Callithrix jacchus: one gene and its partner. The protein of the gene in region 1 binds, or shares a complex with, the protein of each later gene. Links are inferred from orthologs where the notes say so. Each region holds a gene or a part of one and is shown on either strand. Other genes may lie near its edges. The genes, in order: PAWR and SPSB1.

The links.
Region 2: the proteins of PAWR (region 1) and SPSB1 are in contact, whole or in part, in a crystal structure (PDB 2JK9), measured with the Homo sapiens proteins. The link is inferred for Callithrix jacchus from reciprocal best matches to the Homo sapiens genes PAWR and SPSB1. Residues at the interface, in NP_001341661.1 of Homo sapiens: Glu68, Leu69, Asn70, Asn71, Asn72, Leu73, Pro74; in NP_079382.2 of Homo sapiens: Arg77, His78, Pro79, Val80, Ala81, Gln82, Gly110, Thr111, Tyr129, Val216, Trp217, Gly218.

The regions. Positions count from the first base shown.
Region 1 is NC_133510.1:82,371,712-82,387,461, forward strand, and holds the start of PAWR (PRKC apoptosis WT1 regulator protein), read right to left. Parts: upstream 9,475-15,750; 5' UTR 9,345-9,474; intron 9,045-9,344; exon of another isoform or gene 9,019-9,044; intron 8,855-9,018; 5' UTR 8,708-8,854; coding exon 8,192-8,707; intron 1-8,191. UniProt on the Homo sapiens protein: Pro-apoptotic protein capable of selectively inducing apoptosis in cancer cells, sensitizing the cells to diverse apoptotic stimuli and causing regression of tumors in animal models.
Region 2 is NC_133508.1:47,212,420-47,227,469, forward strand, and holds part of SPSB1 (SPRY domain-containing SOCS box protein 1), read left to right. Parts: intron 1-7,381; 5' UTR 7,382-7,528; coding exon 7,529-8,222; intron 8,223-15,050. UniProt on the Homo sapiens protein: Substrate recognition component of a SCF-like ECS (Elongin BC-CUL2/5-SOCS-box protein) E3 ubiquitin-protein ligase complex which mediates the ubiquitination and subsequent proteasomal degradation of target proteins.

The DNA of each region.
Region 1 (15,750 bases):
TGCTTTGTTTGGTTTTTCTGAGCCAGAGTCTCACTTTGTCCCCCAGGCTATAGTGCAGTTGAATAGTCACAGCTCACTGCAGCCTCGAACTGCTGGGCTTAATTGATTCTCCCACCTTAGCTTCTTAATGTGCTAGGATTAGAGGTGTGAGCTACAGTGCCTGGCCCCATATAATTTATTATGAAGAACCTGAAAACAAAGTTTCAGCTGCTACAGAATTGTAATCTACAATATAAATTCTCTCCTATCTGTTCATTTCAGCAAAGTCTAACAAAATATTAATTTTCAAAATACAACTGCCCTATTTCCTCAACTACTTAAAATAAATGAGACTCTCATTGAAAAATACACTGTGACCCATAAAAATTTGTTGAATAAAATCTCCAGAAACTGTCACAGAATAAACATGTAATAGTCAACTGACATGCTAAGATTTGAACTTGCAGGAGCTGTTTCTACCTTTGAAGTGTGTGATTTTGCTGCTTTTAGAAATTAAGTATTCCTATAATTTCATTCAGCCATGGTGCCATACTTTTACACAGTCTAAGGAAAATATAACAGGTGGCTGAGGCTCAACTCTATACAAGTAGGTATATGGCTGTAACACAACTAAGATCTAAACAGAAAGTGAACTCAGCACTTATACAAATATGTTTCAGATCAACTGCCAGTCAAGGATGTCTATAGGTCTAACATATAAGATTTTTAATTAATGGGAAAAACTTTTGCACTTGACTGTAGTTTGATAAGATGTCAAAAACAATGCTTTAAAAATCTGAGTTGCTAATTATCAAATATATTTATAAACGCAATTATATGCTTTTACTTAAAGATACATAAAACTTAAAAATGAGTGAAAGTAAAGTTCTAATTATACATTTAACTATTAGAGGTGTTTCTCTCATCTAGACTTGCCTAAATTCTGGAAAAGAGGCAAGGCAGCCACAGTATTTTGCATGAAGTATGTGACATTACATAAATGTTTAAAGTACTTTGAATTTCTAAGTGCTCAATTTGTCTGTTAAAATATGTACAGTTTTTAATTGGAAGAAAAAAATGAGAAGTTTACAATCTCATAGAAAATTAATCTCTATAGTAACTACTATTTATGATTTGGGCATTTTTACAACATTTTCACAAACATCATTTTATTTAGTTCATATAACAATCCTGTTAGATAATCAGTATCTATTTCATATGACGGATCAATAAACTAGTATAAGGTATTTAAGTTAGTTCTTCTCAAACTTTAGTGTGTACAAGAATCACTCAAGTTAAAATGCAGACTCTTAGATAAAATCCCTAACCCAGACTGGGGTGGATCGCAGAAATCTTCATTTTAAATAAGTAACACAAGTGTTACAGGTAGGGGTGGACCCCCCCCGCCCGCAGACACATCTTTTAGGACACTGATTCTAGTAATATAACTAAAGTGGTAAGTGTTGGAAACTCCGTTTTTACTCTGAATCAATGTTCCCAAATGTTTAGATAACAGAGCTTTGCAGTTCTCCATGAAAGATATGTAAAAATTTAAGTAAACTGGAAGTATTACACACCATTAAATTATTAACTTTGTGCAAAAGTAATCCAATTATTAGGTTGGTACAAAATTAATCCAATTATTAAGTTGGTGCCATTACTTTCAATGGCAAAAACTACAATTATTTTTGCACCAACCTAATAAATATGTATTATACTGCAAACAAATGGTAGTAGGTGCCCAAGTTTTAAGAAATTTAAAATTGAGGAAATCCTACCATAGTTTCCAACTTCTCTGTAAAATGTGGGAAAGGCTGATATTAAATTATTTTAAGTTAATAGCTTCTCATAATGTGAACACCATATCACTTTACTGGAAAGAAAGCTAAAACTTAGGCACCACAGATTCTAGGAACATAATGAAAAATAAAGATGAAAATATAAAAGTACTTAAGAGCATACCATGTGAATATTTAAAAAAATTGAACTGTACACTTTAAAAGGGTAAATTTTACTGTATGTGAATGGTATCTCAATTTTAAATAAAGGAAAAAGGCACTGAGAAAATATCAAACCTTAATATTTGCCAATAATTTTATACTTGTAAAACATTATATCAACCTTGCTATTAAATGGCATAATTATTTAGCATTACAGTGCTAAAAAAAAATGCAGAAATAATAAATAGCATAAACAGGCTGGGCATGGTGGCTCCCGCCTGTAATCCAAGCACTTTGGGAGGCCGAGGCAGGCGGATCACTTGAGGCCCGAGGTTTGAGACTAGCCTGGCCAACATGGTGAAACCCCATCTCTACTAAAAATACAAAGATTAGCTGGGCATGGTGGTGCACACCTGTAGTCTAGCTACTTGGGAGGCTGAAGCAAGAGAATCACTTGAACTCAGGAGGTAGAGGTTGTAGTGTGCTGAGATCATACCACATGCCACTGTACTCCAGCCTGAGTGACAGAGCAAGACTCCATCTCAAAAAAAAATAGTATAAACAGGTCACTAGCTTGATGATTTTAAATAAGAATTTTAATGCCAGTGTCTATACATTCATTTGTTCTCAAAATTTTCCATTAAAATCTCACTTCATCCATCCTGCATAAATAGGGCTATTTTCAAATTCTATAGTCATATACTAACAATTTAACACTAAAATATTCTTTGTATTTCTTAAACTAGATATTCATTATGTAATACACTGAGGTGTAGCGTTAAGATGGTTTATTATACACAAGACTGTGAGTGCAGACTATCTCTCATCTACTTCTCACACATATATGACCTGAAGCAAGTAACATCCCCTGTCTGTTCCATTTTCCCATAGGGCTGTGGTGAGAACTAAATGCACTAATATACGTTAAGTGCTTAGAACAGTGCCTGGCACTTAATAAGCACAACATAAATGTCATCTACTTTAATTACGTAATTTTTATGACAAATGGCATCCCAGCTTAGACAACTCAGTACAAATCCTGATAATATTAAAATTTCAATTTACTTTACCAGTGAGCTAAAACATTTAAGAAAGCTGGGCTAATATCAGCCCAGGCTTTATACTAAGCAGACTCAGTGTTAACACTATACCTACCCCATTCACAAATCAAATTTTCTCCAACTCTGAGTCATTATTAGTTTCTCTCCTGACTCATCACACAGAAAGGTAGACAGTCTGGAGCATAATGGGAAAAACAAAAGGCAATTCTTAATCAACCTGGATTTATAAAGTTTACTAAGTGGAACTTGTCCTATATCATGTTCAATAAATATACTAAATGATTATGATCTAACCTGTGTTCACTTAAAAGTGCTTTCTATATGCTTAACGCTCCTTTATCTTCCCTTTTACTATCCCAAATTCAAACTGTGAAGTAGGTGTTATGATCCCATCTTCTTAGAAAAATACATCACTTAAGTAAAATCAAAGATCCACATTTTCTTACCACTAGACAAAAAAAAATTTACATTTTGCTGAGTGTGGTGTTCAAAATTTTGCTAATTTAAATTAGAAGGTCAGAAGCAATCTCTGAGTCCACGAATTTGACCTGAAATTCTACTCAATTCCATACCTTTACTGTTTTCCTCATTCAGGTGTTTAAATTACTTAAGATAATTTTTAGTAAAAAGTTACATAAAAAATCTAGGGAAATATGCTGAATAATAAAAGCTAGGCTAATTCTTAAAAACCTTCCTTTCCCTCGATATATACATATACACAAAATGCACAAAAACATTTAAAATATTGCTCTGTCGCTCACTTTCTATGTGATCGTGAATCATTTAAGCTCTAAGTCTCCATTTTCACCTCTAGAAATGGGGATAAACAGAATAACTATAACAACCACATGAGATTGCTGTGAGCATTAAGATAGTACATAAAGCACTTTAGCCAACCACTGAAGCTAAACCACTCTATCCAACCACTATTTTAAAACAGAAGTTTTAAATACCATATGTTAACTCTTATACTTAAATCAAAACCTCAGGGCCACCTCTCCCTGTTGAAAGATTATATTTTCTATGGCAACCATCTCCATTAACCCATTCGTACAACCCTATTTATGGCAAAAGTTTCACAAGCACCCTGAAAACAAGTATATAACCGTCTAGGAAGCTTTCTTCAACTATCCCTCCTCCTCCCTGGGTTAGGTACCCTGCTCAGACACTAAGTTATACTTACAGCTCTGCTTTTTACATTTCCTTTTATTACCTGAGAGTACCTTGTGGGCAAGGCTTATGTCCTATTCATTTCTATGCCCAGACTGCAGCCCGATAGTTCTTAACACTGACTCACATTTGAATCAAATAGTACACTTATAAAAATATTAATGGGCCCAGGAACGGTGGCTCACACCTGAAATCCCAGCACTTTGGGAGGCCGAGCTAAACGGATCATCTGCGGTAAAGAGTTTGAGACCAGCCTCACAGACATAGCGAAACCCTGTCTCTACCAAAAATACAAAAATTAGCCAGGTGTGGTGGCAAGCGCCTGTAATCCCAGCTACTTGGGAGGCCGAGGCAGGAGAATCATCTTCCACCCAGGAGGCAGAAGTTGCAGTGAGATGAGATCGCTCACGCCACTGTACTCCAACCTGGGTGACAGAACAAGACTCCATCTCAAAAATAATAATGATAATAATTAATGCCTGGGATCCACTGTAGATCCATTCAATTATTAGAGGGTGGGGTGAAGGGACAAAGAGGGTAAGAAATTAGCATGAGCAAACATTTTTTTTAAAAGATCCCAACATGATATCAATGTGCTGCTCCAGTTAAGAACCACTGTATGCTGATACTTAATATACTTACAGTTATGTATACATGCACATATGTGAGAATATATGTAAAAATATACAGGCATCGAAAAGTTTAAGACTCAGGTCAAGATTCTCAACATCAATAGCTTCTCCCAGCCCAATCATCTCCTCCCTTTAAACACACACTATTTCCAATAAATAGTTACGTGCTTCATTAAGATGGCTTTTGGCCAGGTGCGGTGGCTCACACCTGTAATCCCAGCACTTTGGGAGGCCGAGGCAGGAGGATCACAAGGTCAAGAGATCAAGACCATCCTGGCCAACACGGTGAAACCCCATTTCTACTAAAATACAAAAATTAGCTGGGCATGATGGCGTGGGCCTAAAGTCCCAGGTACTAGGGAGGCTAAGGCAGGAGAACTGCTTGAACCCAGGAGGCGGAGGTTGCAGTGAGCCGAGATCGCGCCACTGCACTCCAGCCTGGCGCCTGATGACAGAGCAAGACTCTGTCTCAAAAAAAAAAAAAAAAGATGGCTTTTAAACTGTTAACTCAGTACTTAAATTTTTTCATGTAATCATGCCTTATCCTTCTTCCTAGTTTACAGCCTTGCTCCCTGAAAATATACACTGCCATATTCTTGTTTTCTCCAGTGCTTAAGGACAGTGTCTTTAACAGGTATGTAACAAACATTTGACTGATCTGATAAACACACACAAAATTACTGGCAAGAAGTATGCCACGTCCAAATTATGCAATTCAGGTGAATTACTATCAAAAAAATTGAAAATGTAAAAATATAGAAAAAAAGGATAAAAAAAAAAACTCTTAGTAAATTTTATCTCATTAAAGAAGCTCTGGATATTTCAACTTTCCATTCATCACACACAGTAACCACCCAGTCTCCTATCTCCCAAATCGACTAGTTTCAGTTTTTGACCTGGTTCCTCACCTAAAACTATCTTCTCGTCGATTCTAGTATCTTTAGCTGCTTTCAGGTACCTTTATAACAGTATTATATAATCTATAACTAGTAAAATGAGGTAATCAAAGTCACAATAAACGTATCACACAGATGTTTCGTAAGTACTTCCTTGAAGGAGCTTCATGTTTATCAACCATTAAAACAAGATCTCTACATACGAACTACATGTTAATCTACTAATATAAAATGGCTAGGAATCATGTCTGTAAATAAGAGTTTTACTCAACATTAGATAAAATATAAGACTACTTCTGAATATAGATTGGTCGTTTGCATCCTTTTACATATTTTCATACCTGAAAACATTGCAAAATATATATGACTTTTTAAAACAGGAGTGCTAAACTAAATATTACACAAGAAACTCCACAGCAACTGGTATTCTCACTGTTGAAACTACTAGAAGAAATGGCACACAATTCTAAAAAAGCAACAATATAAAGACATGAAAATGGCTCAGCTTAAAAGTTTTGCATCATGTATTTTACCACTTTAAAATAATCTGAAATACTTAAGTTGTTTTGAAAAAAATGACAATATATGGAGGAGGCATTCAAGAAATATGTCTGTTAATTAGATACTGTGGTAAAAAATTATTATGTTTTGTTGGGTCCTACAGCTTGAAACGGATAGAGCCATAGTTACCACTAAAAGAAAGCAGTCCTCAATTCCCTATTCAATAAAAAGGTTCAAATTCCACAGACCAAAAAAAAAAAAAAAAAAAAAGGTACCCTTGGTTTGTTTGTTTTTAAGGAAGATTAAATTTAGGAGTTGCCAACACCCAAACGAAAACATTCCAGAGTATTATACTCCATTGTAGTGGGGAGTCATCTACATTCTCAGCACTATGTTCTCTTACTCAAAAGCAGGGGTATTAACAAAAGATGTTTCTTAGGATCTCACAAGATACACCCTACTTCCTTCCCTCAGTAAACATTGAAAAATACTTGAAACATTGAAAAAACTACTTGAAAAATAATATTAGCACATGCAGCCAGAAAAAAAGTGAAGTTTAACATCTGCTGAGTTATTTCCCAAAATAAGACCCCTGTCAGATGAACAATTAGGAAAAGACTGAAAAGGACAAAATCTTTTATTTGAACTATCAGCTACTTTTAAAAATAAAGTTGAGGAATGTAGCTTTCCCAAAGCTTTGTCTTCAATTTCCCCTTAATCTTCATATTTTTAACTTAAAAAAAAAATGGAAATTTGATTACCACCCTTAGAATTCCTTCTAAAGCAATTTAATGAATAACAGATCTTTTGTGCAAGGAGCAAACCACAGAGGACAGTTTTTCTGGCTGATAAAAATCTCAGAAACACTCATATAAAAATACACCCTACAAAGATACACTATGATTTTCTAGGTATGGAAATCATATTAATTCTAAAAATTTAGGTGTATTTTATATACACCCTAACTTATTGCAAATGCTTTTACTTAAACCACAACTAAAGTTAGTAAATTCTTAATAGTTATTTACCGGGTGGCAAAATTGAGTAAAATCAGAAAGCAAGGAGGAAAAAAAGTGAAAACTAAAGGGTCAATGAGAAAAAGATGCAACTATTTTAGGTGAAACAAGGTAGTTCAGCCACTTCCTCAAATCCGTGAGCTACTATTAAAGTAACCAAAACTTGTTTGAGATTGTTTTGTCTTGTTTCTGGTAGAAGGAGGTGTGATTATACACTTAGTAAAAATGTTTTACCCGTCAGTCTAACGGGAAGATGCTGCTACCTGTAGCAACATTTTGAAAATGCTCAAAAATGCAAACAACCCAAAACAAACAAAAAACCCTACCACATATGTATTTCAGATACAGTACTTAAAAAGAAGATGAGATCGTCTTAGCAAACAGAACTGTAGGTTACTAAAGGATGCCTATTGTCCTAAATATCCCTCAGAAAAAAAACCTATGTATGTGTTTAGGTGCACAACTTATAAACAGTTGATACATGAAAGAGTGCATATATTCATTTAGATATATTCATCTTAAGTTCACTGGAAGATAAAGCTGTCTTGGATAATTGCTAAGGCCACATTTTCTTTACAGGTACTATTAAACGTCGGTAGGAAAGAGATAAACTGGCAACTTCACATGGGCACGTGGGACCCTAGAAAATGTTGTCACCACCATTAATCAATTTTTCTAACTGATCAAGCATAAACAGCCAGGTCCAGGTGGGCAAGTCCTGGAGCCACAAGTTGTCTTTCCACCACGGTAAAGAAAGATACTGGATCTGAGACCTGGCCAGGAAGCCTGAAGAGGGCACATGTCCTGCTCTAAGTTTGAGGAACTTCCCAGGAAGCATTTGTGGAGAATAAAACTCCATCACCCCCGCCTGCCTAACTCGGTGAAGGGACAAGTACGAACCAGAGGAGGAAAACTCCAGGCCCCGGGGACTCCCAGGAGGAAGACAGCGGAGGCATCTGCCCGCCCCGGCCCGGCTGCGGCCCCCGCCCGACTCACCTCTGCGGCGGGGATGTTGACCACGCCGGTGGAGCGCCGCTTCTCCCGCAGTTTCCTCTTCTCGATCTGCCCTTTGCCTTTCCTGGCACTAGGGCCCGAGCTCTTGCCCTTCTCTGGGGCGCCGTCCCGCTCCTCCTCGTCACGCCGGGGCGGCAATGCAGCAGAGGAAGAGGCGGCTGGGGGCTCGTCCTCCGACCGCCGCGGGCCGGGAGCCGCCCGGGTCAGCATGGCGGAGCCGACCGCGCAGTTCACGCCCCCGGGCCCGGGGGCGGCAGGTGCGGCCGGCGCGCCGCCAGGGAGGTTGTTGTTGAGCTCGTTGGCAGCGGCGGCCGCCGAGGTGGCCAGCGCCCCCGCGGGGGGCTTCCCGGCGGCGTCGCTGCTGCCCCCTCCCGGGGCGGCGGGGCCCGGGGGGTTCTGCTTGGCGCGCATCTTCTCGCGTTTCGCCTTCCACTCCTCCAGGAAGTCTGTGGTGCTGCTGCCGAGGCCGCTGCTGGTCCGGTAGCCACCGGTCGCCATATTCCCAGCGGGGCTGGCCGGGTTCTCACCTCAGGCCGCCCACCAGGGCTCCCGCCGCTGCCGCCTCTTCCTTCCTCCGTCCGCGAGGATGCCAGGGAACGACCTCCAGGAGCTTGGCGGCCGCCGCTCCCCCAGCAGCCAGCTGGTCTGAGGGGAAAGACAAAAGGGGGCGGGTAGGGGAAGCGTAAGGTCCCCGCCCGACCCGAGGGTCTGCCCCCAGGCTGCGCCCTTCGGAGCCCTCGAGCGTGCCAACTAGTCCCTACCGGCGAGAAGCCGCCGGGTCCCCACCCTGCAAAGTTTCTCCCACGCACCTACAATGAGGGCCCCGACGATCGCCGCCCCTCGAAGGGAGGAGAGAGGACTGACCCCACCCCCAAGTTGGCCAGCCCGCCCCGTCCCCACCGGGGTCCGTGCTGGAGGCGGTGGAGGTACTAGGGCCAGACCCGCCACCTGTCGGCCCGTCGTATCGCCTGCTCCGCGCTCTGGCCACTGCGGGTCCGAGGTCCCCGCCAGCGACACCCCACACCCAGGGCGAGGCGCGGAGCTCCTAGCCGGCTCGCGGAGGAGGCGGGGACCCCGCTGTCCCACCGAGCGGGGAAGGGGACGGGTGTGAGCAAGCGGCCGGGCAGCCCCTTACCTCGGAGGAGCTTGTAGGGGAAGAGGCGTGGGGCTGGGATCTGGCGCCCAGGTGAGCCGAAGCTGGCGCACTCGTCCGCCGCGCCCAAAGAACCGCAGCAAACTCGCGCTGCGGAGCTCCAAGCAGTCCCAGGACAAGAGGGAGGGAAACGAGAGAGGTAGGGAGGGAGCGAGGGGCGGGAAGGGAGCCGAGCGGCGCCGAAGCACGAACGGAAAGGGCCGAGGCGGCGCACGAGGGGCGCGGCGCGCGGTGGGTAGGGTCGTGGCCGCTGACGCCCCGCCCCCGGCGCTCAGGTGCGCGGCGCCGCGTCCCGCCCGCCGCTGCCGCCTGCTTCGAGCCTGCCGTCCTCCGCTCCGCACCCGCCGCCGGCCACACTGCACCCGCCGCCGACCGCACCGCGCCCGCCGCGCTCCGCCCGCGGCTGGCGGGTTGGACCGCACATTCCTGGGCTAGCAGCCTCGCGGCGTCCGGCCTCCCGGCGCCTGCGACTCCGGGGCGGGAACAACACTCCACGCCCTTCTCCTCGCTTGTCTTCTCCGCCTCTCTCTTCTCCCACCACTCTTCCTTTTAAGTACAAGACCGTATTATTTTAGAGAAAGTCTCGAACGCTGCTGGCTAAGGGGAAAAGTGCGATAACTTGTGATGATTCAGGGAATGACTAGACAGGATGGGAAAATACCCACGTGTCCCTTTCCCTAGTCGCTGCTCCCTTTTCAGATGTACTTTGGGCAGCGTGCAGGAGAATAGAAAGAACGGAAACAAACCCACCACCCTCCTTCTAAGAAAACTGGTGTCCTGGTGAAAAGGGTTGGCTAAGAGGAAGGAGTTACTAATAGACTTGTGGGAGAAAAAAGTTCGACAGTTTATTGTATTGGCGATCCCAGTCTTGGAGTTTTCCTCTTAACCCTGTCTCTCCCATCTCCTCTTTACAGAGTGAATTTAGCAGCAAAGCTGCCTACCAAAGTACTAACGCTGCACTGATGCTAATTTGAGATGAGCTGGGCAATGATTGCCTCTATTTTTTTATTGTTAACATGCCAGAGGCTTATCCTCAGATGCAAGTCATCTAAAATTTCTGGATCAGAGGTGGTGGGTGGGCTGCCACTGACGCACCTGAGAAGTCTGACCTTTCTATATCCAAGTAATGTCAGGGCACATAATTGTGGGCGGCGACAAATGCCAGATCTCCATTTTGTAAAAAAAAAAAAAAAGTAGGAGAGCCCTAAGTCACATTCTTACCCAACATAAACCATTCTTCCTACTTAATATTCCTGTTTTGCCCAGGAGCACATGGTGAGTGAGCAATCAGTGTTTGCCTGCCACAGAACTGGGAACAGAAGAAAGTGATTCACATGCTGTGTATTTCTTAGGGAAAGACAATTCTGGTCTTTGGTCTGGAACATATGGAGAGAGGTGCGGAAAAAGCCTTAGAAAATTAAAGGCTTTTCTTGGGAATAGGACTAAAAGGGTAAGCAGCTGTTTACCTAGCTGGTACCAACCGCAGTGTGCCACCTGAAATTTATCAGTTACATAGTCATTATTTTGTTTTCTGAGTTTTACAGAAAGGAAGGAAGGGTGGGACATTAAATGTATTCACATTAATATGCTTTGTAACTTAACAAAGGACTTTCTCTTAGAAGGGCTGCAGGATATAGTGGAGAGAGGGTATAGTCAGCCTGGATACAAACCTATGTTAAGTAGATGAGAAGTCTTGGGCATGTTTAAATTATCTGGCACTCAGCTTTCTGTACTATAAAATCAGCAAAAATCACATTATTTTTCAGCTGTCTTAACAACTGACACTGCACATAAAGTGTGCTTGATTTGAGGAAGGCACTCAGTAAACCTAGTCACTTGTAGGGACTTACAGTCCTTGGTCTCTAAAAAGTATATGGGAGAAGAGCAAAGTAAAATAGGTGGGGTACTGAATATACAATATCAACCTAAAAAACAATAGACTTTGAATGAACTGGGATAACACACCACATAAATTTATCACTGCATGGGTTAGACCAGTTCTGTTGGTATCAATAGGTTCTGAGTCATGAATTTTGAATGCTACCGACTTGTGTGGCTTTGGGCAAGTTGCTTAACTTTTGTGCCTCTGTTTACTTATGTATAAAATGGGGATAATAATACTTCCTACATTGTGAGAGTGTTGTGAAAGTGCCTGCAGTCCTCAGATAAAAGGTAGTATGTGACTACCAGAGTAGTTATTATTAGTCTATAAAGTTCTTTAGGAACCGTGGATGAAAGAGATTATTGAGGTACAAAGCTCTGTGTTTTATTATTATTATCATTTATTATACCTTTTGTCTTTACCATTCTCAATATTCCCGAAGGTATATTTCACAGCCAGACTGCTTCCAACATTGCCCCAATGTATTTAGCTGAGTCAGTCCTAAATTGCAAGATGTTTGCATATCATCAGTCTTTATGTATAGCGTTCTGATGAAATAATCCTCAAAGACTTGGAGCTTGGTTTCTCAACCTCAGCACTATTGACATTTGGGGCTGGATAATTCTTTGTTGTCCTGTTTAGCAGCATCCTGGGCTTCTGCCTGTTAGATACCAATAAGAACCCCCGACCGGTATTGTGACATTGCCAAATGTTCCCTGGGATAAAATTCTTCCCCCATTGAACACCTCTGAATTAGCCTAAAATAACCAGTTTTTAGCTATGCACTTGCCCTTAATAATAAAAAGAAATATGATAATGCCAACAAAACATTCATTTTAATATGTCAGAGTGAAACCTATTCTGTATGTTAAAGTCTTAATGCTTTGAGGCATGGTATTATTGATATGTATGGATAGCTGGTATATTGGGGAGTAGCCATTTTGCCTTAAATGCAGATATTTCCAGAGCATATGTAATTCATCCTCTAACATCAAAATATTACATGTGCATAGTATAAAAAATTACATTTTTTAGTTCTACAAGGAATACAACAAAAAACAGCAATCCCCTCTCTACCTTACTCACTCTGAAAACCTTACCCAAAACTTTAAACTTTTTAAACTTTTTAGAGATCTTCATATTTTTATGTGTATATCTGCTATTGTATGTCTTGATTTTTCCATTTTTAGATATCTCATAGAAGAGGATTTAGCTCTGATATACTAATGACACAAATACTTTTCATACTCCTACACTCCAACTATATTTATATTATGATTTTTATTGAATAAACCTTCAATGTTTTTAGTATTATGACTACAAATACTGTTCACAGCTGAGTCATGTGGTGTACTATGATTGCATTTTTTACAACTGTTTTTCCTTGTTGCACAACTATACCTTTTGTTTTAACCATTTTTCTGCAGTTTAATCTTGCCTCTTTTTTATCATCTTTTTTCTTATATACTAGTCCCGAGTTTATACCCAAATTTCCTTCTTTCAATGAAGTTAATCACACTGAGTAAGCTATTAGTTCTGTTCTATCTTATTCTCTCTTTTTTCGGGGAGAGCAGGGAGAAACTTCTCTTCTGGAGCCCTCCATCCCCTGCTTTAATCTGATTGTTGATTTTTTTTTTCTTTTGGAGATGGAGTCTTACTCTGTCACCCTGGCTGGAGTGCAGTGACACGATCTTGGCTCACTGCAGCCTCCCCCTCCAGGGTTCAAATAATTCTCCTGCCTCAGCCTCCCAAGTAGCTGGGACTACAGGCGCACACTGCAACACCATCTAATTTTCTGTATTTTAGTAGAGACAGGGTTTCACTGTGTTGCCCAGGCTGGTTTCAAACTCCTGAGCTCAGGCAATCTGCCAGTTTCGGCCTCCCAAAGTGCTGAGATTACAGGCATGAGCCATTGCACCTGGCTTAATCTGGATTGATTTTAAGGCTTGTTGCTTTGTGGTCATCCTGGGATTATGCTTCTCTAACATCTTGCGAATCATTTTCTCTGCAGACTTCTTGTTTCCTTAATTCCATACTTTTCTCTTGTTTGTTTCTCCCTTTCATTTTAGTGAAGTATATCGGTATATTCTAAAGATAGTATAATTCATTCTTAGAGACCTCGCATATTGGAAAATAGGTTAAATTCATCTTCACACTTGATTAATAGTTTGGTGAAACATAGGACTCTAGGTTTAAAATTATTGTCCTTCATAATTTTTAAGGCATTGCTTTATTATATTCTAGTTTCCAGAGTTGCTGTTTAGAAGACCAATGAATGGCATTCTGATTGCATTGTATCTTTTGTCTCAAAATTTTTGGATTTTCTTACCCAGATCCTCTGAAATATCTTGAAGATATGCTCTGATTGGGTCTTTTATCATTATTATGTTAGGCATTCAGTGGACTCTTTTAATTAGGTATCTGCCTTCCAGTTGGGAAATTTTCTTATTCTCTTTCTTTGATAAGACATTCCTTTTACTTTCTCCATTCCCACCTTCTGGAACTCCTGTTAAGTAGATATTGGACTGCTAGAAGTTCTCTAACAAATTTTTTTATCTTTTCTCTTTTTTCATTTCTTTGGCATGTTATTCTACTTTCAGTGAAATTTCCTTCACTTTATATGACAGTTTTTCTATAGAATTTTCTGTTTCTGACACTGTTTATTTCTAATCTGTTTCTTATTCTCTAAATATTTTTTTCTCTAGCATCTTGTTCTTGACACATATTGAGCATTTTTTTCTCCCTAAGCAAATTGCCTACTTTTTAAAATTTGTTTTAATCTTCATCTTTCATGTTAGAGCACTTCATCAGTCTGCTGTTTATTCGTATTTAAGACTGAAGAACTGAAAAGCTCACTGCACTCACTCAAAGCTCTTCTGTGAAAGGGAAGAGCTTGTTGACTGATGGGCCTCATTTAGGGAGCCGGTGTTTGACCCCAGGGATTTTTCTGGAGGCGTGCGTCAAATGCAGCATCTGTGGAGCTTCGCTTTTGGCTCAATAATTTTCCTTGAGTAAAACTGTATTTCTGCTTGTGTTGTCAGTTGCCAATGTTTTCAGATGTCAAGTAGGGAAAGGAGACTGGCAGCGTCTCGTTACTCAATATGCAGATTTTCACATAATCCCTATACTTAGTATATCTGACATACCCAGTTTCAGGGCTTTTGTAATTCAACATCTGTACAACGTGAACTTCCAGTCCTCTGCCAGGATCAGGAGAGATAGCTTCCTTGCTACTGAACCCTGCAGAGAGGATCTGATAATTTGTTTATTGTGTAGGTTTTCAACTAATCTTTCTGTTTTCACCCCCATCCTTCACTGTTTCAGAGGTATATGCTGCTGCCTCCAATTTCTGAATCTTTTTCAGGGCTCTGCAAGACAAAAAAAGATTACTTCTTACTGGCTTTGTCTCCTGTAGGTTGGAATTTACCTTTCTCTGCTTTGCTAAAGTCTGCATTTTTTCTCCCTAAGCAAATCTTTCATCTTCCAAAATTTTGTTCTTACTGCTCATCCTCTTTGTTGTTACTGGTTTATCATTTTACTTTGGTTTTAGTGAAGTTACTTGAGGAAGTAAAGATAAACATGTGTGTTCAACCTATTATATTTAATAGGAAGTCCAATTCATCCATTTTGCAGATTTCCAGTTACTTTGCAATCTATTCCATAACTCCAGATCAGCAGAGACTTCTACATCTTATTTCTGTCTTTAGTGAGTTACATCATAAGCCCATATTGATGTACACTGTAAGAAAGAGCTCTAAAAATTGGTTTTATTTTCCACAGGTTGTTTTTGAAGGTGTTTTTGAAGGCCCATTATATTACATAATGTTTCTGTTATTAAAAACCTAGACAAAAATTCTGATATCCATATTAAAAATAGATGTAGTTCTCTTTTGCAACTGTTTTATAACCATTTAGTAAAACTATTTTTGTATAGCTAGTGAATATTCTATTTTCAATTGCCTATAGGTAATCTTAGACCAGATTTTTGGCCTATCCAGGGAAGACCTAGATTTTATGGTCCCTGAAGCTTACATAATTTGGTGGACTTTCTATAAGAAAAAGAATGCATAAGAAAATAAATATTTAGAATAAGTGAGAAATTATTTTAAATAATGAATTTTAACAAATTGACAAATGCCACAAATATCACAAAAATCCAGAAAAAAACCCTATTCATTTACTCTCTGACACATTTCTATGCCATTTTGTATGCATTTTATTATTGATATTATTTATTGATTCATAAAGTACATGTCTTTACATGCAGCTATATCCACTATTTGTAGTACAAGTATATAGGTTTATGTCTTACAAACACAAGAACTCTGATAAATTTTACATCAAAAAAATTCTACTTCAAAAAAGAAAATGATGTATTGGCCATTCATAATTTTATCTCTAGCATTGTATCATGTATTTCTGATAGGAAAGCATATAAAATGCCAATGAAAACTTAATTCTTTGCTTATTTTACATGTCTTATGATTGGAAGAATTTCCCACAGAC
Region 2 (15,050 bases), on another chromosome or scaffold:
CACAAGCGAGTGTCAGGGAACTCACCCACACACGATCCGCCACCAGCATCAGCTCTTCCACCCAGATAAGTTGTCTTTCATGACTCACAGCCTCTGGGACAGTTGTGAGGAAGGTCCTTTCGTGAGCTCCCAGCCCACCCTTTTATGGCTGTTTTTCTCTCTTGACCCTTGTGATCTTACCTTTAATTTGATTTTACTTATGGGAAAATGTTGCGAGGAGTTCCCGACCCAGAATGACTGGTGAGCTCATAAGAAGGGTCCTGCAGTTAGACCTCCTGTACACACACACACGCAGACATGCTCCACCCCCAGACATGCATGCACATGACACGTGTGTACATACATGCCTGCACAGCATACACACACACATGCATACACACACATGCATACACACACGCAGACATGCTCCACCCACAGACATGCATGCACATGACACGTGTGTACATACGTGCCTGCACAGCATACACACACACATGCATACACACACATGCATACACACATGCAGACATGCTCCACCCACAGACATGCATGCACATGACACGTGTGTACATACGTGCCTGCACAGCATACACACACACATGCATACACACACACAGACATGCTCCACCCACAGACATGCATGCACATGACACGTGTGTACATACATGCCTGCACAGCATACACACACATGCATACACACACATGCATACACACACGCAGACATGCTCCACCCCCAGACATGCATGCCCATGACACGTGTGTACATACGTGCCTGCACAGCATACACACACACATGCATACACACACATGCATACACGCAGACATGCTCCACCCACAGACATGCATGCACATGACACGTGTGTACATACATGCCTGCACAGCATACACACACACATGCATACACACACGCAGACATGCTCCACCCACAGACATGCATGCACATGACACGTGTGTACATACGTGCCTGCACAGCATACACACACACATACATACACACACACATGCATACACACACGCAGACATGCTCCACCCACAGACATGCATGCACATGACACGTGTGTACATACGTGCCTGCACAGCATACACACACGTGCAGACACACACGCAGACATGCTCCACCCACAGACATGCATGCACATGACACGTGTGTACATACGTGCCTGCACAGCATACACACACACATGCAGACACACACGCAGACATGCTCCACCCACAGACATGCATGCACATGACACGTGTGTACATACGTGCCTGCACAGCATACACACACACATGCATACACACACGCAGACATGCTCCACCCAGACATGTATGCACATGACACGTGTGTACATACGTGCCTGCACAGCATACACACACACATGCAGACACACCATACACATCCATACACACCACATGCACAGATACATACATGCCTCACATAGCTACACATGTGCATACACACACATTCTTTCTCCTGGTTGAAATACCTCATGGCATTCGTACCTGTGACAAGGTAACAGCCTGGTCTTCAGGAAGCACCAGGCCCTGGGACTGTCCGTGTGACAGCTGCACGGCAGCCTGAGGACTGTGAAAGTGAGAACTGTCATTTACAGGGAGTGTTTGGTGGGGCAGAAGAGGTACAGGCCAGGAACATGTTTGCTGTGGGGTTTGGCTGAGACAGCCGTGAGGCGGAGGAGGCAGGTGCAGTCCTGGTGACTAATGCAACAGTGGGCTTTGGGGTGAAAACTTCCACTAAGGGAATGGAGAGCAGGCGCCACCAGCCACGACACTGCCTGGATTGTCACGCCTCTGTCCTGCTCATTAGTCTCGGCTGCTGATGTTGCTCTTGGTGTGCAGACACACAAGTGTGCACGTATGTATGGGTGTGTGCGTGTGTGTATAGGTGTGTGCAAGTATGTGTATGGGTGTGTGCACATGTGTGGGTATGTGCATGTGTGGGTTGTGCAAGTGTGGGGTGTGTTTGGGTGTGTATGTGTGTATGGCTGTGTGTGTGTACAGGTGTGTGCACATGCATGGGGGTGTGCATGTGGGGTGTGCACGTGTGGGGTGTGTGGGTGTGAGCAAGTGTGTTTGGGTGTGTGCGCACATGTGGGTATAGGTGTATGCATTTGTGTGGGTGTATGCATGTGTTTATGGGTGTGTGCATGTGTGTGGGGGGTGTGCATGCATGGGTGTGTGCCTGTAGTCACACATGCACAGCGTGTGGTGGGTGACGGTGGCGGCAGCAGGGCCACATCTGTCCTCTGCTCTCCCGTTCCAGCCCTGCAGGTTAGCACAAGTCACACTCTTTGCGTCTTTGCTCCTCCTGGGTGGGGATGAAGGCGGAGTCCTCCCACCTTCTGGAAAGTCACCAGTTGCTCAGCAATCCCAGGCCCTAATGCTTCTGTGGCACTGCAGGACCCCACAAGGCCTAGTTATCTGCATTTGCTTCTTAGAGCAGCAGTAAGTGGGGTGGACCCAGAGCAGGGGGCCTGTACTGTTCTCTCAGCTCCTGCCTGAAGCGTGGTACCCAGTGCTGCACACCCTCCTGGCCCAGGGATGTCTGTCATGGTCCGGTGTTCACAGGAGCCATCCCAGCACCTGTGGATGTTTGTTATTTGGCACCTGTGGGTGTACACACCCCCCATCCTGAGTGCCATATTCAGGAATTTTGGTGATGGTAGTAGCAGTTTTGCTAATACCAATCGAACAGGGGCATTCCTGTTTGAATACCATGTGGCCCAGGACTCGTAGTTTATCTGTTTTTATAAATAGTTTTATTGAAACATACCCATGCCTATTCATTTACACATTATCTGGAGAGCCTTAAACAGTTACTATCTGGCCACTTATGGAGGGACTTTGCCAACCCCTGGTTTAGAAGGAGCCTTAAACTTGATCTGCTCTAGCCCAGCCTTTCAAGCCTTTGGGTCTTGGCCCAAAGGCAGCGTCCATCTAGAGGGCCAGATGTGGCCAGGAAGACAGGAGAGCAGTGATCTTTGTTCAATGAATGGAGCACAGGCTGGGAAATAAACAAAAGTGGAAATGGCAGTGGCGCCAGCCCCCCCGGAACACTGTCTCCACTGAGTTTTAGGTAAGTGTGTGACAGATGAGTGAGCAGAAGCTTGAAGAAGCTCAGGCTGGATCTTCGTGGCCAGAGCTGCTGTCTCTGTGTGTAAGCTCAGAAGCCCCAGGAAGCAGGGCTGGGGAAGCGCCCATCAGGCTGCAGTCCCAGGGGAAGCAGCTTGTCCAGCTCCTGGGGACCCACAGGAAGGGTGGATCTGTGCAGCCACATTTTAAAATAGAGGAAGGCAGGCAGATGGATGGCTTTAGTGTTCTTGCACTTCGAGGAGGTGGCTAGGTGTGAACAACAGGAAGTTGGGAAGGCAGTGTCATCTTTAACCATAGCCTGGACACAGGGCGGGTGACAGATGAGTCATGAGTAGCCCTAGGGTCACCACAGTGACTGACCACCTGGGAGGTGACTCAGATGGCAGAAGTGGCCAGGTGGGTGGCCCACATTCCCTGGCTAGGCCCTGGGGTGCCCTTGTGAGGGAGTCACCCCACAGTCCTGGAGGCTCCTTTACCTGCCCTCTCTGCCCAGGGAAAACACCCCACACTCTGTCCCCAGCCTCCCTCCTCCCAGGCCCTCCCTCCCACCAACTCCCACGTCTCACAGCATTGTGGTCTAAGGCCTGGGCTGGGGTACAGGGGAAGGTGGGTGGAGGCGGAGGGGTGGTGGTTAGGGTTCGGCATAGGGTTAGGGTTAGGGATAGGGTTATGGATAGGTTTAGGGTTACAGTGAGGGATAGAGTTAGGGTTAGGGTTAGGGATAGGTTTAGGGTTAGGGTTAGGGAGCTCAGCCCAGCATCAGTGTTGAGGACTTGCTGGGCCACCTGAGGTTCTGGCATCTCAGAACTGGGAGAGCTTGTGGAGCCAACCTTGGCAGACAGACAGTGGATGTCCCACGTTGGGGTGAAGCCATCCTTTCTGGTGACTCTTTCTGGGACAGGACTGGGAGCTCCCTCCCGCCATCCAGCTAATGCCTGCTGCAGCCCCACAGGGCTGTGTCTTAAGTAGAGACGAGGCAGGACGGCCTGGTCTAACTCGGGCTGGTGGAGCCTGTGCCAGCCTGTCCTTTATAAATAAAGTTTTCTGGAACTCAGCCACGTGCGTTTATTTATGTCCCGTCTGTGGCTGCTTTTGTGCGACAACAGCAGAGACTGTCTGGCTCTCAAAGCCAGACATTTACTATCTCGCCCATTGCAGAAAAAGCCTGCTGATCTCCCGTCTCGCTGAGACAGGCGTTCTGTGTGTTCAGGCCTGGGTTTATTAGCCTGAGAGCTCCCTCTCTCCCCTCCCTTCCCTCCCTGTCTCCCACATCACCCTTTCTCCCGCTCTGAGGTGTCCCCCTTGCCCTACCGCACTCAACCTCCCTGTTACGGTCCCTCCTAGCATTTTCTTTCTTTTTTTTCACCTGATCAGTGCTTGGATTTGACCTCCTAGCATTTTCAATTACCCTGCTAGGGGACCCCTCCCCGCCACCTTTCCCTCCTACCCACCCCTTCCTCCCCCAGCCTCCTCCTCACTCTTCCCACCTGTTCCCACGGGTGGAGAGAGGGCAGATCTTCCATGACAGATGAGATTCTGGGAGAAAGGTTTGTCCAGCCGCAACAGTTGAGCAGCAGAGGGGCTGTGGGGGAGCTACGCTGCCGGAAGCGTGCCGTGAACGCTTAGAATGTAACTCCTACCCTGTCCTCTCAGGGTGCTGAACTCTGTGCCCACAGGACCCTGCAGAATTGAGAATACGGAGAGGTCCCTGGGCACCAAGCTGGAGGGGGTGTCCAGACAGAGATGCGGGGGTACTCTGCGCTCCTGCTCTATGCAGCTCTGCCCTCGAGAGCTGCCTCAGGCCGGCCTTCCTACAGCTCAGAAATGCTCCAGTGGAGGTTGGGAAGAGGGGAATTCAAGGAAGGCCACACCCCAGCCACACCAGACCAGCTCTCTCCGCCTCCTGCAGCTTGAGGTGCAGGCCCCAAAGCCACGGAGTGCCCTCTGCAGCCACATAGAGGGAGTCCTAGAGGTTTCAGTGGCTCCCAGGAGAGGAAGTGGGAATGAAAGCTTGAAAATGGGATTTTCCTGGGAGATCGTGGATGTGAGGTCACAGTATTCAGAACCTTCTGAAACCAGGGTGGTCCTCCAGGCTGCAGAGGGGCACCTCAGCTCTGTAATGGCTTTGCACACACTGGACACAAGGAGACCTGCCCTGTCTCTGAAGAGATGACCATGTCTCTGAGATCAGAACCCTCTTGTCTATGGCCGGGTGCAGTGGCTCATGCCTATAATCCCAGCACTTGGGGAGGCCAAGGTGGAAGGATGCTCTGAGGTCAGAAGTTCAAGACCAGCCTGGCCAACATGGTGAAGCCCTGCCTCTACTAAATACAAACAATTAGCTGGGTGTGGTGGTGTGCACCTGTAATCCCAGCTACTTGGGATGCTGAGCCAGGAGAATTGCTTGAACCCAGGAAGCAGAAGTTGCAGTGAGACGAGACAGCACCATTGCACTCCAGCCTGGGCAACAAGAGCAAAACTCCATCTCAAAAAAAAAAGAATGCTCTGACATCAGAAAGGGGAAGTCGAAAAACATGACCTGGCCCCTGAGATAAGGGGGTCGGGGCACCAAATTTTCCCATGTGGAAAGGTTCTGCTGGGACCAAACCACCTGGGCACCTGGCTGCCCTGCAGATGGGGTCTCATGGGGCCTCTTACCAGCTGAGAGGGGGCTATAGGTCAGCCCTGCACAGCCTGGCCCTGGCTGGCCCCACACTGAAGGGGAGGCCAGTACTCTGAGGTCCCTGGGTTTCCCTGTGTCTGGAAGCCTGCAGCTTCCCACACCCCTGGTTCCTTTGGGTTCTCTTTGTCCCCCTTCCTCGGGCACCCTCATAACAAGCAGCCCAGAGTGACTCTCCTGGCAGCCAAGGCTCCAATGACCTCCCACCCAGTCACCCCCACAGGCTCCTTTAGTTCTGTTTCTTCAGCCAGGAGCCTGCCTTGCCCCTGCCCTGGTTGATCCTAGGAGCCTGACCCTAAACCAGGCTGCTCTTCCTGGCCTCTCTGGTCCCTTCCAGAGGCCAAGGGGGTTCCTGATGGCAGAAAGAAACTTCTCTCTTGAACAAGGCTTGACTCTTCCGCCGCCACCTCCTCCTCCTTGGATAGAACTCTTCCTGGCCAGCACTTGGGGAGGCCGAGGCAAGTGGATCACTTGAGGTCAGGAGCTCAAGACCAGCCTGGCCAACATGGTTAAACCCCGTCTCTACTGAAAATACAAAAATTAGCCAGGCATGGTGGTGGGTACCTGTAATCTTAGCTACTTGGGAGGCTGAGGCAGGAGAATTACTAGAACCCAGGAGGTGGTGGTTGCAGTGAGCCAAGATCATGCCACTGCAATTCCAGCCTGGGTGACAGAGCAAGACTCTGTCTCAAAAAAAAAAAAAAGAATTCTTCTTGGGCTGCCAGTGGAGAGGATGGGGTAGATGCAGTGAGATCTCTCTCCCAACCTGAGTCTCTGTTCTTCCTCCCTGAAGGACCCAGGGGATGGTAGCCAGAGAGGGAACAAGGCGTCTGTGTGTTGGACTTCCTCCCCAGACGTGCTGTTGAGCCCCAGAGGGCGAAACCCTGGCTTCTAGTTGAAGGGCGTGGGCAGGAAAAAGAGGTGATCAGTCAGATAAGAACTCCTGGGGGTCAGGGATGAGCCCCCCATGCTGTCTGAATCCGGGCCTGCCCTTGAGAAGAATGTTGCTGGCGGAGGAGGCTCCGGGGCCCTTCCTGCCAGGAGCACACAGACCCCTGAATTGAGCTGTTCGTCTGCACCAGAGGGCTCTTCTCTGGAGTGAATTGGTGGTGCGTCTGCTGGAGGTCGCTGTGCCAGAGATGGGGAAGAGGAGCTGGGATTGGCATCCTCAGCAGCCTCTGCTGCTAACCGGGCTTCCCTTCCCCTCTGAAGAGCAAGGCAATAGCCATCTACCTCCCTCTGTTTTGACCACGAAAATGCCCATTGTGTCGTGGCTGAGACCCGGTTCTGTGGCACTGTGGCCTTCTGCCCTGTGGGACCCTGATGAGGTATTTGGTGGGCATCAGCCATGCGTCTGCACCTAACACAGATGAGGGTGACGCCCAGCCCCCAGGCCCACCGCTCCATGCAGTCTGCCAGGTGGACAGACAGCCCCTTTCCTTTGTGACAGCCTAGACAGGGAACAGAGGATTTCATTCTATGCCAAGGCTCCAGCCTGCCCATGTCAGGCCTGACGGAGCCCAGGCACAGACTGCCAGGATATGCCTGTGTGGTCGCCTCACCCTCCAGGTTAACTCTCCCCTTCACCCTGTAGCCTTGCTCACCGCTGTTTGTCTTTCTATCCATTAGGCAATACCGAACACCGCAGCTTGCAGGGGTCTCCTGGCAGCCCTCCTTAGGAATTCTGTCTGGCCCCAATCAGAATACTGGAGGTGAGACCGCGAGATTGATGAGTTTGCCTTGGGAGTCGGTGAGAAGGTGAAACCAGGGGCGAACATGGGTCAGAAGGTCACTGGAGGGATCAAGACTGTGGACATGAGGGACCCCACGTACCGGCCCCTGAAGCAGGAGCTCCAGGGTCTGGATTACTGCAAGCCCACCCGGCTGGACCTGCTACTGGACATGCCCCCTGTGTCCTACGATGTTCAGCTGCTGCATTCATGGAACAACAATGACCGTTCGCTCAACGTCTTCGTGAAGGAGGACGACAAGCTCATCTTTCACCGGCATCCGGTGGCCCAGAGCACAGACGCTATCAGGGGCAAGGTCGGGTATACCCGCGGGCTGCACGTGTGGCAGATCACGTGGGCCATGAGACAGCGGGGCACGCACGCTGTGGTGGGCGTGGCGACGGCGGATGCACCCCTGCACTCTGTCGGGTACACGACGCTTGTGGGGAATAACCACGAGTCCTGGGGCTGGGACTTGGGGCGCAACCGGCTCTACCACGATGGCAAGAACCAGCCAAGCAAAACATACCCGGCCTTTCTGGAACCAGATGAGACGTTCATTGTCCCTGACTCCTTCCTGGTAGCCCTGGACATGGACGACGGGACACTGAGCTTCATTGTGGATGGACAGTACATGGGAGTGGCTTTTCGGGGACTGAAGGGCAAAAAACTGTATCCCGTAGTGAGTGCCGTCTGGGGCCACTGTGAGATCCGAATGCGCTACTTGAACGGACTTGATCGTAAGTGTACTCTGTGCTCTCAGAGGCAGTGCCCTCCCTCTGTCCCCGTGGTCCTGGCTGGGCTCAGGGCAAAAGTTTATACAGTCATTGAAACTAACGTGTTTTGAAGTTGATATCCCAGTGTATTCAGACCCTCAGGCAACTTTTGCCTGCATCTGGTTAAGTGAGGAATTCTAGCCAGAGTCTGCTAGATTACCTAACGGTGACTCATGAATGAAGGGACAGACGGATAGATGGATGGATGACGGATGATGAATGAATCGATGGATGAACGATTGGTTGGATGGATGGATAGATGAGTGGATAATGAATTGATGGATGTATGTTTGGATTGATAGATGGATGAGTGGTTGAGTAAATGGATGGATGGATGAATGGATGGGTGGGTAGATGAGTGTTTAGATTGACGGATGGATGAGCGGATGAATAAGTGGATGGATACATGAATATTGGATGAGTAGATGGATGGGTGGGTGGGTGGATGAATGTTTAGACTAATGGATGAATGGATAGGTGGGTGGATGAGTGTTGGATGGATGGATGGATAGGTAGGTGGATGAGTGTTTAGATCGATGGATGGATGGATAGGTGGGTGGACGAGTGTTTAGATTGATGGATGGATAGATGGATAGATGGATGGATGAGTGTTTAGATTGACAGATGGATGAGTGGATGAATAAGTAGATGGATAAATGAATATTGGATGAGTGGATAGATGGGTGGGTGGGTGGATGAGTGTTTAGATTGATGGATAGATGGATGGATAGGTGGGTGGATGAGTGAGGAATGGATGGATGGATGGATGGATAGGTGGGTGGATGAGTGAGGAATGGATGGATGGATGGATGGATGGATAGGTGGGTGGATGAGTGTTTGATGGATAGATAGATACATGGATGGATAGGTGAGTAGATAAGTATTTAGATTGATGGATGGATGGATGGATGGATAGGTGGGTGGATGAGTGTTTGATTGATGGATGAGTAGATGGATAAATGAGTGCTAGATGAGTGGATGGATGGCTAGATGGATAGATGAGGGAATGAATGGATGAGTAGATGGATAAGCAAATAGACTAATGAATTGATGGATAAGTGGATAGATGGGTACATTAATGAGTAGGTAGTCTTTGTTTCTCTGGGTGACCTGCCTCCAGGTTTGATCCTCAGTTGACCAAATTCTCGCCCACTTGCCAGCATGTGATCGAGCTGGGGTTTGCAACCTTGGGGATACTAGGGCCTCTTGGGTAAATGAATGCTAGTGGCCTCTCTCACTCATTACCAGGCTGAGTCTTTCTCTTCTGCTGGAGGCTTCTGAGTGGGCTCCTTTGAGATACAGTCCCGAGGGACTTGTTTGGTCATGAAGTTGTCAGGGAGCACATGAATCAGAAACAGGCTGAATCAAAAGTGATGACTGTGTGAATGAGCCCATGCGTAGGGGCACCATGCTGGTGTGGGAGGTGGAGGCTCCATGGCAGCCCTGCTGGGAGCCCACCATAGCAGGAGGGCCTGGCATTGCAGAACAGCTCACTGCGTGTGTGGCCCTCTCTCAAGCCCCTTGCCTACATGAGTCCCTTTTACCACCTGCAGGTCCCACCTCGGGAAGTGAGTGGGCTGGAAAGCTCCATCCACCCATGAGCTAACTGTCTTAAACAGGCAGGTTTGGCTCAGCACCCTGAGTTCTAACTCCACTCTGCAGGCCAGGCAAGAGGCGGCGGGGGCCGGGGAGGCCCCCACCAGAGGTCAGGAATACAGATGCTATCTCTCTCTTGAAGTCTCCAAACCTGCAGCTTCTCCCGATCCTCCTGTTCCTCCTCCCCCATCTCAGCCTTTGAAAGATACTGGAGAAAGTATCAGGTGGTCAGGCATGAGCAAACGCTTACATGTTTCTCTTTGGAAGCCTCCACTGCCCCTCTTCCTCCTGGTCCTCTGCTCTGACTGTGACCCTGATGGCAGTGAGTTGACAGCCACACGTGGCATCTGTGGTGCAGGCTCCCGGGCCTGCTTGGTCCTCACCTGTACAGCCCGGCGCCCCCAGGTCATGGGACTCCTGGGCAGAGTGAGTTCTGTGTCCGTCTTCCCCGGGTGATAGAAATAAGCCAAATTTGCCTCAAGCGGGGATGGGTGCAGATTGGGAGCCCTGGGCACATCCTGCCAGGACCTAGGATCTTGGGGAGCCCTGGCCCCCTCCTCCCAGCCAAGGGGTGACCATGGAGCCAGGGAGGTTAATGTCCATTCTTTGTAGACAGACAGGTGAGGGCACCGCCAGGCCTGCTATTGTTGCCTAGCCACTGGGACCGTGGGGCTCCGTGAGATTTCCAGCCCTGTCCCCTCCAGGAACAAGCCCCCTGATACTCTCATGAGCTGTGGGTTTGCACAGCTTCACGGTCATGTATCCTAGCTTCAGTACAGAGCCCTGGAGTGGCTGGGAGGGCACTGGGGCTTATTTGAACAGAGGGTTCTGCCCACCCAGTCCTGAAGTGCAGACGCGTGTCCTGTGAATAGATGGTGCCTTGCTTGGTTAGCTCTGCATGAGACAGGAGGTTGGATGCTTTCATAATTTTCCTTGTTTGGAAAATCCTAAAGGCGCTGGGTGAGTGGGGGATATGAGAATGGGAATCAGTATTTGGGAACCATTATCTGTGAGCTGGAAGCTAGATGGCCACTCAGAGCATCACATCAGGGCACTATTAGTCAATGACAAGGACCCTTTACCTCTCCACCAGAATCAGATACTCAGCAGTGCCAGGGCCCCTTGGCTTCTCATCTTCCTCAATCCTGGTCAGACATGAATGGGCCCTGGGGTACAAGGACGGTTGACTTTAGGGGATTCAGATTGGAAAATAGATGTGGTTCGCAGAGCAAAAAATCCAAGGGTGAGGCAGTGTCACAGCTCTGCTGCAGGGTGGGGGCAGGGTAGGGGGCATGGGTGTTAGTCACCAGCCTCAACCTGATTAACCTAACACCTCCAGGCCCTTATTGAGGCAGCATCTTGTGACACAGAAGTGTCATCTTGTGTCATAGAAGTGTCGTTCTACAGCCAGGCATGGTGACTTACTCCTGTAATCCTAGCCCTTTGGGAAGCCGAGGCAGGTGGATCACAAAGGTCAGGAGTTAGAGACCAACCTGGACAACATGGTGATACCCTGTCTCTACTAAAAATGAAAAAATTAGCCAGGGGTGGTGGAGCACGCCTGTAATCCCAGCTACTTGGGAGGTTAAGGCAGGAGAATTGCTTGAACCCAGGCGGTGGAGGTTGCAGTAAGCCGAGATTGTACTGCTGCACGCCAGCTTGTCTTGAAAAAGAAGAAGTATCATTCTGGCTACTCTATAGAAATAGACAGCAGGGGCAAGAGTGGCCTCTGAGAGGCCAGGCCAGGGAGGAGCCAGGCCTGTCCTGTGAGAAGTGATGGGTGCTTGGGCCAGGATGGAAGCTGCAGATGTGGAGAGGGCTGGCCCAGTCCTGGGACTCTGGAACAGGCTCCTCCATTGATTGGATGTGACGAGAAAGGGAAATGTCAAGGTGACTCCAGGTGTTTGGGTTGAGCAGGTGGAAGGCGGGGGCTTCCCGAGATGGGAGGAGCAGATGTTAAATTTGAGCATCTTCTTCGACACATCCCAGCAGCCCTGCAAGCCTAAGAGTCTGGGAAAGCCGTAAGTCGGGGAGTTGTCCACGCATGGACAGCTTTAGAGCTGCTACCCTGGCGAGGTCACTGCGAGTGGGGGCTAGAGAGCAAGGAGAAGAGGGCTGAGCCTGAGCCCTGCTTAGAGGCCAGGAGGGTGGGGGCTGAGGGGACCCAGTAGATTGGTGTCCTGGATACCAGGTGAGGAAGGGGCTTTCAGAAGGGCAAAGTAGCGGCAGGTCAAGAACATGGATGGCTAAGAGAAGAGCTGTCCATCAGCTTTGGCAACAAGGAATTCACAGTTGACCCTGATGAGAGTCTGAGTCCAGGGGCCGGGGGGAGCCTGATGGAGTGGCTGGAGGAAGATGCACGGGGTGTTCGTGTCCAGGGCTGCTGAACATGCGACCAGGAGCAGGACCCGTTAAAACAGCAGCAGTGCTGAGGCCAGGTGTCTGCAATCAGAATGATAGCAGGCTCGGCTGCCTCCGAGCTCTGAGACGGAGCCCACCCCAGGCCTCCCCTCACTCCTGGGGACTGCCAGGAATCCTTGGCGTCCCTGCGTCTGTAGATGCCTTCCCGAGTCCCTGCCTCTGTTTGAACAAGGATGGTCCACCTGTGTGTGTCTCTCTGTGCCCCCTCCTCTCCTTACAAGAACACCAGCCATTGGATTCAGGCCCCGCCATCCCCATCCAGTATGTCCTCATCATACAACAGTACGTCTGCGAAGGCCCTGTTTCCAGATGAGGCTTCACACTCTGAGGTTCCAGGTGAATGTGAATTGGGGGGCACTGCTCAACCCACTCCAGATGTGGAGGCAGCCAGTGTAGACCATCTCCACGAGGCCTTCCTCTCCCTGAGCCACCACCTGGGAGGGGGTGACAGATAAGCCCAGTGCTCTGTCCCCTCGCGCCACCCCCACCGATGCTGGGGTGCCCATGGTGAGGTCAGAGGCCACCCAGGTCCCCTGTCCCAGGAGAGTTGGCTTTGCCTTCCAAGGCACCTAAAGAAGGGGGGCATCCTGGTGAGACCAAATCCCAGGATCCTCCTGGGAGCAGAGCATGTCAGGTGTAGGTTCTGGCCAGGCCTGGCTGGATTTGTCATCTTTTTTTTTTTTTTTTTTTTTTTTTAGAGATTGGGGTCTTACTATGTTGCCTAGGCTGGTCTCAAACTCCTGGGCTCAAGTAATCCACCTGTCTGTCTCCCAAAGTGCTAGGATTGCAGGCGTGAGCCATGGTACCCGGCTGGATGTTTTCTTGGTATCAGGCTGATCTGGGGCTTTGCTGTCTCTATCTTAGAGGTGGTGGTAGTTCCGCTCCCCAGAAGTCTGGAGAGGCATCAGTGCCCACCCCCAACACACGGGTCCGACTTCAGTGAGGGCAGCTGTTTGTAGGGCAGCTCAGGCAGTTGCCCTGCATGTGCCTTCCTGGGGATCTCCCAGCCCAGTGTTCCCGTGGCCTCTTTCCTGCATGCCAGGCAGACCCCGCAGCAGAGTCCCTGCTTCCATGCTAGGGCTAGAGCCATGGTCGGGCAGAAGCAGGGACAATGAGGTCTCGATGTTTCTCTGTGTGGCCTCTCCACTGTCTAGCCAGCTGGGGCCACAGGCCCTGGACTCTGATTCCTCCTCAAGGCTTGAGGCTCAAGGCCTTGTGCTGAGGATGCAGCCAGAGAGGCTGCTGGGACACCCTCCCTGTCTTTCCTGGGGCAAGAGTGGAGATGGCCATTGTTGAGTGGGGAGACAGGGCCTGGCCTGACCCCAGACCTGCCCGCCACCCTCCCTGGAGATGCATAAAGGCCTGTCTGCAAGCAGCAGGTGGGCAGGCAGTCCAGGGAGCGCCCCTGACCTCATGGGTCCTCTGGCCCCACCCCCCACTGCTTTAAAGACGTCTCCCACTGAGGAGGCATCGTCCATGATTCCGCATTTTAGAATTTTCTTTATCAGCTCCAGATGGGTTTGGTGTGGTTTGTCATGGTTGAAGGTTCAGGGAAGGTCAGCTCTTTTCCTCAAGATCCGCACCTCCTCCCAGGTGCCTCCTTCCAGCACTCCACTCCAGCCTGGCTCTTCGAGGAGGTAGTTCTCAGGAGGCTTATGCCCCCCACACCAGGGGCTTCCTTCCTTCCTTCCTTCCTATGTTGGGAAGGGGTTGTTCCAGATGCTCTTCCCCACCTCCTCCAGGAAATCTGGTCCTATGAGGACTGCAGGCTCTCAGAGTCGGCGGGGGTGCTGGGTAGGGGACCATGAGTGTCTGATCACCTAGATGGATCTCTGATCACCTAGATGCATCTCAGGCATCCTTCCCCAGTTGACAAGGACAAAGGCTCCATGTTTTGTTTGGCTCTGCTCTTTCATAAGAACTACTTAATGGCCAGGCGTGGTAGCTCACGCCTGTAATCCCAGCACTTTGGGAGGCCAAGGCCGGCAGATCATGAGGTTAAGAGATTGAGATCATCCTGGCCAACATGGTGAAATCCCTTCTCTACTAAAAATACAAAAATTAGCTGGACATGGTGGCGCACACCTGTAGTCCCAGCTACTCGGGAGGCTGAAGCAGAAGAATCGCCTGAACCCAGGAGGTGGAGGTTGCAGTGAGCTGAGATCGTGCCACTGCCCTCCAGTCTGGCAACAGAGTGAGACTGTCTCAGAAAAAAAAAAAAGAACTGCTTAATGTAGAGGAAAACACACACACACATCCTATGATGGCCACCCCCACCGTGACATTCTAGAATCCATGTCCTGTAACATGGTCCCCATAAGCCTCTTTCAGGGCCAGCCACAGGAGCCATGACAGCCATCGGTGAGGACATTGCGGAAGCCAGGCGTTCTCCCAGGCAGAACATTTTTCCTTGACCTCATCACTCTGCAGCTCATTCATTCAGCCTGTGAACCGGGCACAGCACCACCCTCTTCAGGCTTGAGTTGGGTTGAAATCTCTCAGAGAACGTCGAGATAGCCGTGGGTCAGGCCTCTGAGGCCGAGCGCATCCACGTCGGCCCCCAGGTAGCCATTATCACAGAACTGTCGAAGGTGGTGTACCGTCTCTTCTAGTTCCTCAGCCTTCTGCTCCCACAAATAACACCTGATTGACTTCCTGATTTCTTTGCTGCTCATTCAGCATTGCACTCTCTCATTCATAGAAATTATTTAAATGAATGCACGCCTAAGCTTCCCAGGGATGGGCACAGCAGCCGGAGGCCCCAGGCCATGGGAC